2 linked regions of the Drosophila melanogaster genome follow. The protein of the gene in region 2 purifies or fractionates together with the protein of the main gene of each other region. This does not show direct contact. Each region holds a gene or a part of one and is shown on either strand. Other genes may lie near its edges.

Region 1 (4,761 bases), on a different chromosome or scaffold from region 2:
CCTGACATTTGATCCTCGCCGCAATTTATACTCGTCTTTCTACCCACAGTGCGAAAAACACACACACACATTCGTATGCACAATGTACGTGGACAGACATGCGGCCAATAAATGGGAATCCAACACCGTAATTGGCCATTTTCAAGAACGCCTTGCAAAGAAAACTGGGGAAAAGATACAGACATACCTAAGTATCTATGTATACGAGATATGTATGTATATTTATACGGACCGGTTCTTTGTTTCCGATCCGGTTAACTTTTAGGGAATACGGAGTACGATTGATCTTTCGTTAAGATGGTTATTTGAAATCCGTCAGCTTGTCTTTTAAGTAGCGATTAAACTAATGCATATTTGATAAAATTTGGTTAATTTTCGTTTAAATATTGTTTCTTCTATATGTAAACAAAGGCTTTTAAAGGGGAAAATACTAGGCCGAATAAATTAATAATATGATGCATACTTTGTTTTGAACCAAATAAAATAAATCATGCTCATCTAAGATATCTAAGATGTACTTTTATGTAATATTAGTATCTGATTTGTAGCGAATCTTACCTGTGAGTCTACAAAGCTTTCGATGTACATATATATTTATCTTTTCTGATCATACATTACTTTCGTAAATTGAGAATTGAAATTCATTAAATTATTGGAGGTTTTAAAACATTTGGTCAAATATCGACAAAACAATAGAATTGACTTTACAGATATACATATTACATTTATTGACATTCAACGAAACTCAAGGATTGAGCGAAAATATATTGTATATATAAGCGATAAGTACTTGGTTCCGGAATCCACACGCACATGTAACAAATAGACGAATCGCACACTTAACAATAGAGAAATTCTTTACGGGTTATGAGAGATGTCGATTTAAGAATCTGGAATATATATGTTTAGACATATGGTATATACTACACGTACAGTATGCATATTTATAGTGAGTGGTAATGGTAATGAAGCGCCCTGCAAATACATCGCCTGGCCCAACCGAATCGAAAGCGCCTGCGCTCGGTTATGATAATGATGATGGTGATTGTGATAGAGATGTCGTTTACACTGTGGACAGGCTGGGTTCTTCCTCGACGTTGTTGTCCTCGTCCTCCAGGGGCAGAGATGCGGATGAGCATCGCTTTCGGTTCCCCCCGGAAGGATTACCTACCGCCTGACTCCCGGTCATAATAGAATAGCTCTTAGAGGCGGGTTTTCGAGGACTGGCGATGGTATCCTTCTCCAGGGCAGACAAATCCCCATTGCTGTGACCATTGCTGCTATGCGGTGAGCAGCTACCATTACTGTTAGCGGTGCCCGATACGATCCCGGCACCATTTCCATTACCACTTCCGTTGCCACCGCCCGCCTCGTTGATGAAAACATCCATGTGATCGATGGTGTCGTTTAAAGCAAAGCTCTGATCCCGGCGCTCACTCTTCTTCCACAGATAGTAGAAATGGACCAGCTCGCGCATGGTTCTAGTGCGCACCTGAAAGAGCCCAACGAGCCCATAGATTACTTGCTAGGGCGGTCCGCAGGCAATGGACGCTCCTTTACCTGGTTTTGACGTATCTGATAGAAGTCCTTGCCAAACCGCTGAATGCCCTCCTCGAACTTTAGGCACTCGTCCTCGGACCAGCTGCTCATGGTATCAGTGAGAGGCAGGACGTTCATGCGCTTGCGTCGTAGGGCTTCTTTGAAGTCGTAACCGCACTGGACAAGCAGATGGAGCGCCTGCTCATTATCCTTTACCACCAGCTCCTGATCGCCAGCGCCACTTGTCGCAAGCGGAGCCCTCGGAGGCGTGGCTGGAGCTGTAATGGGAGCCGGCGGTTCGATAGTAGCACCTGTAGCTGCGCCTTCCTCGCCCGCCGTAGTCTCTGACCCGTCATCCGGCGGAACTATCGATCGGGTTTCCTGTATCTTGGCCAGATATTCCTCCACCTCGCGCTCGCTGACTTGGCTGGGCTCCCAGATCAACTGATCCTCGTTCTCATATGGCAATATATCGCCATATTGCGACAGCCCCTCTGGGATCTCAGCCTGATAGTCGTGACCCACCATTATTATCTTCCGAGCATCGTCCAACTCGGATTCGCTTTCCTCCTCCTCCTCGGCCTCCACTTCATCGAACAGTGTTTGCAGTGGAGTGACTATAAAAGTGTTACATAATGGAAGTGATAATTAGATTCTGTCACGTTTTATTTTTAAACCTACATCTTTCCGTCTCCTCTCCGCATGTGGGCGCCAGATCGACGAAGGATTCATCTGGATACAGGTCCAGCAAATGTGAGCGATGCTGCTTCTTGATCCCCTCATACTTTTGCGCATCCTCCGTGTCCACGGACGAAGCTTCTCCTGATTCTGGGGGTGATGCTAGCTTATCGGCCTCCTCCTTGGGTTCCTCCTCCTGGTCTATGCCGTCGTGTTTCTCCAGTTGCGATGTGCTGCTCGAAGTGGAGGTCGACGTGTGAGCCATCTCCGTGTCCAGTTCCTGGTACTGGCGCTTTGTGGCCCTACGTGCACGTCGTGAACTGCTGCCGGAACGGTTCGAGCTGCTCATTGCCGGCGAAGCCGCTGTCCCGCCATATTTGGCCAGCAGCTCCTCGATGGGCATCTCGCTCTCCTCGCGCAGCGTGGCGATCTCGTCCTCGGCACTGTGCGCCTCCATGTCCGCCAGAGCCTCCTCCTCGTTCAGCGTGGCCTCGTCGTCAAAGTCGTTGACCATCATGTCGATGGTGGGCTCAAAGGTGGTGTCCGCCACCGAGGACGACGGCGACATTGGCGGTTGGACGCTGGTGCTGTTGTTGTCCGAACTGGTGGCCGGCGACTTGCGGCGCTCCCGCTTGGTGGGCGTGACGGCCAGATCGCTGTTTGCCAGGCTGCCGGAGTCCGCCGACGCCTCGGAAGCGCTGTGCTGGGAGTGATCCGACGATTTCCCGAACTCCATCATTTTCCGTACACACAGTGTGGCAGCAGCCAGAGCGCCAAAATATCTGCACTTCGCCTGCGCAAATGCGCTAAAAAACGGCACTAACTGGGATATTCCTTTTTTAGTTGGGGTACTCCTATATATTCGAAATTTGTTTTTGTTTGGCTTTCCAAAGTAATGCTTAATTACACGAATTTTAAGATTCAGTTTTTCTGCCTTTTCAAATTTAAGTGATATGTGCTCTTCTTATGTATAAATCACTTTATCAATATTTTAGCAAGCTTGACAACATTTTCCACGTTGACATGTCCATATATTTTACATTATAAGCTGCTCGAAAAATAAAAAAATTATATTCAAATATCAATCAATTATTTTTCTACCGCAATATATAAACTTTCCAAATAATTTAATTATGTGCAATTTTTCTTTACATATTAGTTGATAAAACAGAAACGAATAATTTGAAATTTTTTTATTGAAAACATTTTTGTAGTTGCGCTTAAAAATAGGAATGAATGAATTTGCGGTTGGTTTTGAATGAGATAAATGTAATAAAATTAACAAATACGAATGGTGTTCTTTCCCATGACAACAATTGCGCCCTCATCTTGCACCTCCTTCAGGGCATCTTCAAATTGCTCGCGTGTGATCATCTGCAATAAATTATCGTTTACATTGATTTTATATTATAAATATATTATATTAGCACTTACAATTTGGGATCCTTCCTTAATATCGCTAAACAGTTTCTGATAGGGAACTGTGAGAACTTTGCCCTTCTTCTTGAGGTTTTCCTTGATGGCTGCCACCAGATCGGCGCGCTTTTTGCGAGCGGCTGTTGATAAGCCGGTGGTGAGAATGCCCACGTCAATTTTGCCGGACAGGGGATCCGTGGCCGACTGCTTGAGAGCCTCGCGATGAAGCCGCCAAGCCTCCTCCACGTCCAGCAATTCCACCTGGTTGCTGAGACGCACCTTGGCGTGCGCCTCCGACAGTCGGATGAGACTCTCCAGCTGGCGCGGGTAAGCAGAGATCTGGCCACGACCGGCGCCCACCTTTCGCATGTCCACGTAGGCCTGAATGAGTCGTTGTTGCGCTTCATCCGACAACGTAGGCGACAGATGTTCGCGGGCATAGGCGATGTAGTCGCGCAGGACGCTCATGTCCTGAAAATTGATTGAATATGTTACAGAGATATTCCGGAGAAATACCAACAATTGATCCAAGCTACTTACAAACATGGTATCCTCCTCCTCATGACGCGTCACATAGTACAAAGATACCAAATGGCTGGCCAGTCGCTTGTCAAAGATCTCATCCTGGGGATCCAGGACCAGAAAGATTAGGTCGAAGCGGGACAACAGGGTGTGCGGAAGCTGGACGTTATCAATGATGTTCTTGCGCTTATTCCACTGAGACTCGGCGGGATTGGCGGCAGCAAGAATCGAGGTCCTCGCGTTTAGCTGACAGATGATTCCCGCCTTGGCAATACTCAGTGTCTGCTGCTCCATCACCTCGTGCAGCACACTGCGTGTCGAGTCGTTCATCTTGTCAAACTCGTCAATGCAGCAAACTCCATTATCGGCCAAAACCAGTGCACCTCTGAAAACAAGCCATAAGATTACAACCTAAATTCGAATCTGATTCAAGCTTTTAGATTTACGTTTGCAGAACCAGCTGGCGAGTCTCCGGATCTTTGGTCACATAGGCAGTCAAACCGACGGCCGAAGAACCGCGACCGGAGGTGTACTGTGATCTTGGCACGAGGTTGAAGACGTACTGCAGCATCTGGGACTTGGAAGTACCCGGATCACCGCATAACA
Region 2 (4,890 bases):
AAAAAAATGCACTCAATACTCCGAGCCAACATGATATGCATAAATAAACAAGTCATATGAAAAATGATCAATACCATCAACTAGCCGGCTATTTGATGCAAATTGCTGTTTTTCCTTATGCATTTTACCATTTTGCAGCGCCACAAATGACGAAGCAAAATGCAAAGCCAAATAGATATAGAAAATTCGAAGTTATAAATACCCTTGGGAAGTTTATCTAACAATTCCGCTGTAGATTTTGTTTTCATGACAGATTCAACTACAATTGTTTATCGTTTTTTACAAAACGTGAAAGCGATAAGACATGAACATGCCAAAAGCATATAAAAAATAATGTTAGTTTTATATCGCAAAAACAATCTTTTAATTCGACTCTTTAATTAAATTGTGTCTACAAACAACTATACTTAATCGATTGAAAAGTATATGTACACTGGCTTAACTGCACCATTAATCAATCAAAATCTTAGCTTTAATAGAGAGTTTATTAAAACTAAAACACCTCGGCTATAAACTAAATGATCCAGCTAATAAATTACAGCCCACTTTGCTATCGGCTTAGTCGCGCCCCTGATTTTTAAATGGGTCAATCCAGTTGGTGAATACGGTATATATAGTACAATGTCAGCTCTGATCAAAAGTCTAATGCATTTCTCGTGCCTTGCATATCAATCTATTTGGCTAAGTGGAGGACTTCGTTTTTTAATGTAATGATATAAACATGTGTGATTCCATAGTAATTAGACGGTTATAAGCCAATCAATGAAAGCGATCAAGGCATTAAATGCAAATCGGTCTCAATTATCCGCAAGCTAGGAAATATCCAGAATAACCTGTTTAGGGTATCAAATGACTTTTGAACTTTCAACAACCCTAACGATGGCGACTTTAACTATTTAATGGTTTTTTTTATAGAACAACTTAAGATGTAAGAATGTTACTTAAGGCAAATTAAAAGCACGTGCATGCTTAAATTACTACTGCAATATAATAATGGTATTTTTATAGATTTTTATAGAACAACTGAACATGTTAGGTCGTTACTAAAGAAACAGTTTGTTCATACAGTTCTACTATAAACTCTTGCAACAACATGATCTGGGCCAACAACAGTAGGCAAATGACACTACGATTCAGCACCTGCATTACTTGGCTCATTCACTGAACCGACTGCTCAAAAGATAAATAAATACTCGACTCGAATGATTCTCGAGGAGCAGGAATAGCCGGTTTCGATTTCTTTCACAATGCCAAAATTAACAGACTCGATCGTACGAACGTGGCTATAAAAAATCGCCTTCGGTTCCAAGTACGAAGTCGATAGAGTAGTATTCAGAGATATGTAAATTTTCAGATTCAATAACGGCTTATTGTATATTTTCGCAAGTCTATGGTATGGTATCCTTCATTTGACAAAATGTTAACAATTTGGGTAAATTTCATGCCCACACACAACACGATCGGCCGTAAGATGTTTAACTGGTTTTGAGTTCACTTATTTTTTCGGCGGCTGAGAACCCACAAGGTCGCTTGTTATATGTGTATATAGAGAATTAAGCGGAGTTTGCAATAGTCAAATATGAGATCTAAATAAAATGCCCAAATCGCGATGTTAATACGGGCAAATCATTATAAACTCTGTCAATGTTTTAGTGTCAATAGAGCAAATGTTTTCATTGCCCACTGAATCGGCTGATTGGGGTCTGAAATATTTATAAACTACGACCATCGATCCCTTGAATAAACAGAAATTGAAGCCAGTTGGAGCGAGACAGAAAATTGTCACTAATGCTGGGTGCGAAAGGGACATCAGTACCATCAATTTGCATTTCAATTGTGTTACATTTGCATGCATTATGAAGGTGACAGTATAACCACGCTATAAAGGACGGCTTTGAAAAGTGTGTAGTTAGCCTTCAAATTATCTTAATGCGAAGAACAGAATACTTTGAAGAAACTAAATTAAATAAATTATTTTTAAATTTTATCTCAGCTTAAGTACAATATTCCTGCATAAAAATATTTCTCAGCGTTCTCTATTTTAAATGAACAAGCAAGAAAACTAACAAACAATTATAGCTTATAATTTCAAATATAGCACTGTGCATACCGTTACAAGTTATCTCAAACGCTTCATTAAGTTCAACTATGCACAATTAAAATAGTTTCAAATTACCACACTGTAACGACGCTGCAACAAAATGCTCAGCAAAAGCACTACAAAGTAACACTTTTTTTCCATTATTGTGCGCCATTCAAAACGACTTCACTTGCCACAGCGAAACAGCTCTTAAATAATTTGGAACCACACATTTTCACACACTCAAATGGTGTAATATGCCAACCACCCGCCCATCTGCCTTAGGCAATTCCCACTTTACTTAGCCACACAAATATTATCAGCTACCGAAGATCGAAGTGCCAAAGTGGTGAGCTTGCGGAGATTATGAATGGTAATATGGTCTGGGATATATAGATGACCATCGGGAGGGCGGGGCTGTTTGGTATCGAGACGCACGCGCTGACGAAATGCAGCCAAGTGGTAATTGTTTTTATGGCCAAAAGCCAGAGAGCCATAAGTTGCTTGTGGCACGCTGGCCGGGTAAACCAGGTGCGGTGGGGGCAGAAAGTGTGTCAACGGCGCTGCGCATGCGCATTGCCCAAAGGCAAGAGTGAAGTAAAATCTACGAGCACAATGGCCAAAATGTGCTTTCTATGGAGCATAATGTTGTTAACGCAACTTACCGCAAAAATACACACAAAATTACACGCCTCGAACGGCACGGAGATATTCAATTTTTTCGTTTTCGTTTTTTTTTTTTTTTGCAAAGGTAAATTCAAAGATTTCACGTTTCACTGTTGGCAAACTTTTGCAATTGGCCAAAAAAGGCAGCGGAAGAGGCGGAGGAGGTGGAGTTGCTGGGGGGTTGATTTTCGATTTTCCTATGCGGACAGGACGCGCAATATAAGGTGCGAATATTGGCGGAACAAATGCGTTAAATGCGGCGACGTCCAAATGGCAACGCGGTCAAAACAACTCTGAGATTGAAAACCGCTCTCGAGCTCTTGTTATTAATTAACTGGCCAACTCAAGCTTGACAATAAAACGGCTACGGCGAATGCTAAACAAAATGAGAGAGCGGAATGAAAGCTGTCTCTTGGAGAGCATTTTCCAGCACTGCTAGAGCTTTTTCAAGAGCACCACAAGATTTTAAAGCGGAAAGCTTTTCAAAGATGTAACTGCCTTTTGTAGAACGTAAAACAAAACATTCTGCAGGACGTACAAAATGTATGTATTTAATAAGACAAAGAGTCTATTACTTATGCTATCTATAATATAAAACAAATGATGTTACAATCAAATTAAAAATATTTTACTTATTTTCGTTTTATATTTTAAGCCAAATAATATAAAAAGTAATTAAAATGTAGAAACCTTCATATGGATTTCCATTAATCCCTTTCGATACTTTTTAACACTGGCTGATAGCTTACAGCCCAACTGGTTCAAGCAAGGAACCGAACCTCAACACTTTTTTAAGCTCCCACTTGTTGACTTTGAAATAGTAAACATGTTTTTATCAGCTAATATCAGATCGTGCCAATCTATCAATTAGCCAAGGTGGAACCCCTGGGGGCGAGCGTTAACCACGCTTGAATAATTGCAATTATTTTTACCTCTTTGAGTGCTTCACATTTTGCTGATGGCAGCACTCGTAGCTGAAATACTCAACTTTCTTTAGCCAAATTCATGGCCACCGGGTGAAGTTCATAGCATTTGTTCTTGGTCAATTCTTTTTGTTTCATTTGGCCATGCTTGCAGTTTTCTTTTTTAGCCAAACACCACTTTCGTTATATCATCGCTACCTCTTGTGGCTGATAAATTAAACATTTTTCGCAGGTTGAGTTATCTAAATTATGGCAGTATGTGGGGAAAAAAACGGTTTGACATAAAGATAATGACCACGTATTGAGAGCCAAATAGCTTGTTGATTAATTACTTAACATGGTTATATAAACAAGGCAAGCCATGAAGATATGAGCGCAGGAACATTTATGAATACGTAAAATCTACTTCCGACAATGTAAATTAAGACCCGCGTGCAGTGTATTCTATTCAATGATGGATACTTAAAAATTAAGTATACGCAGCAAATTACGTATACGCAAATTACGTATACGCAAAAACTCGCACTGTAACTAGCCTATCCAGATAGCTATAAAACCAAACTCTTCCAACATAGGTAGAATTTCTACAACCTTGTCTATCGTCCAGCCAAAATATTTAAAAATGCTCATAAATCTAAATACTGGAGAATGGCTATATTATTTTACCCAAAATTGCTATAACCATTTCTAAATACACCTTCGAGATTATTCATCTATGGTTTTCCCTCGTAAATATTTTCTCAATGCCAATATTTCATCACAGATGACACACATTTGTTGGCTTTAGTTGCACATTGTCGTTGTAGCACTTCCGACGTCAGCTTTTACTGGAGGATCAAAGTCGAACTGGGGAATCAGCTCGACATATGCCTGATTGGTAAACTTCGTCCGGTTCAGAATATGAGTTCGGGTAAGACATCGATCAATCGTATGCTCTATTAAATTATTGCACTTTGAGCAGATGGTTTTGCAATAATTAAACGTATGTATCTGGTGAACAACTGCAAGCTCACCTGTTAGGCTAGCTGATTTTCTTCAGATGTTTAAAGTTCAAATTAAACATTATTTAAAAACATGTGTCAAAAGGTATAGGTATACATTATCTTAAACTTATCGCCTAAGGTATTAAGTGTTCTCCGCTGGGGACTTTCAGTTATCGACGGATGCCATGGCTTACGCATTATTAGTTATCGCGATTAGCAATCCCTATCAATGAATCTC

What was found. The genes of interacting proteins can lie anywhere in the genome.
Region 1: the proteins of CG5973 (region 2) and CG1620 purify together in Drosophila melanogaster (affinity purification with mass spectrometry, with the first as the bait; one large-scale study listed by BioGRID). This does not show direct contact.

The regions. Positions count from the first base shown.
Region 1 is NT_033778.4:7,493,306-7,498,066, forward strand, and holds CG1620 (uncharacterized protein), read right to left. Parts: upstream 3,162-4,761; 5' UTR 2,957-3,161; coding exon 2,221-2,956; intron 2,157-2,220; coding exon 1,561-2,156; coding exon of another isoform or gene 1,519-1,560; exon of another isoform or gene 1,493-1,518; coding exon 1,064-1,492; 3' UTR 501-1,063; downstream 1-500. Other genes in the region: dpa (disc proliferation abnormal), read right to left, coding at 3,496-3,591, 3,652-4,104, 4,174-4,540, 4,602-4,761.
Region 2 is NT_033779.5:7,435,644-7,440,533, reverse strand, and holds the start of CG5973 (uncharacterized protein), read right to left. Parts: upstream 3,043-4,890; 5' UTR 2,746-3,042; intron 1-2,745.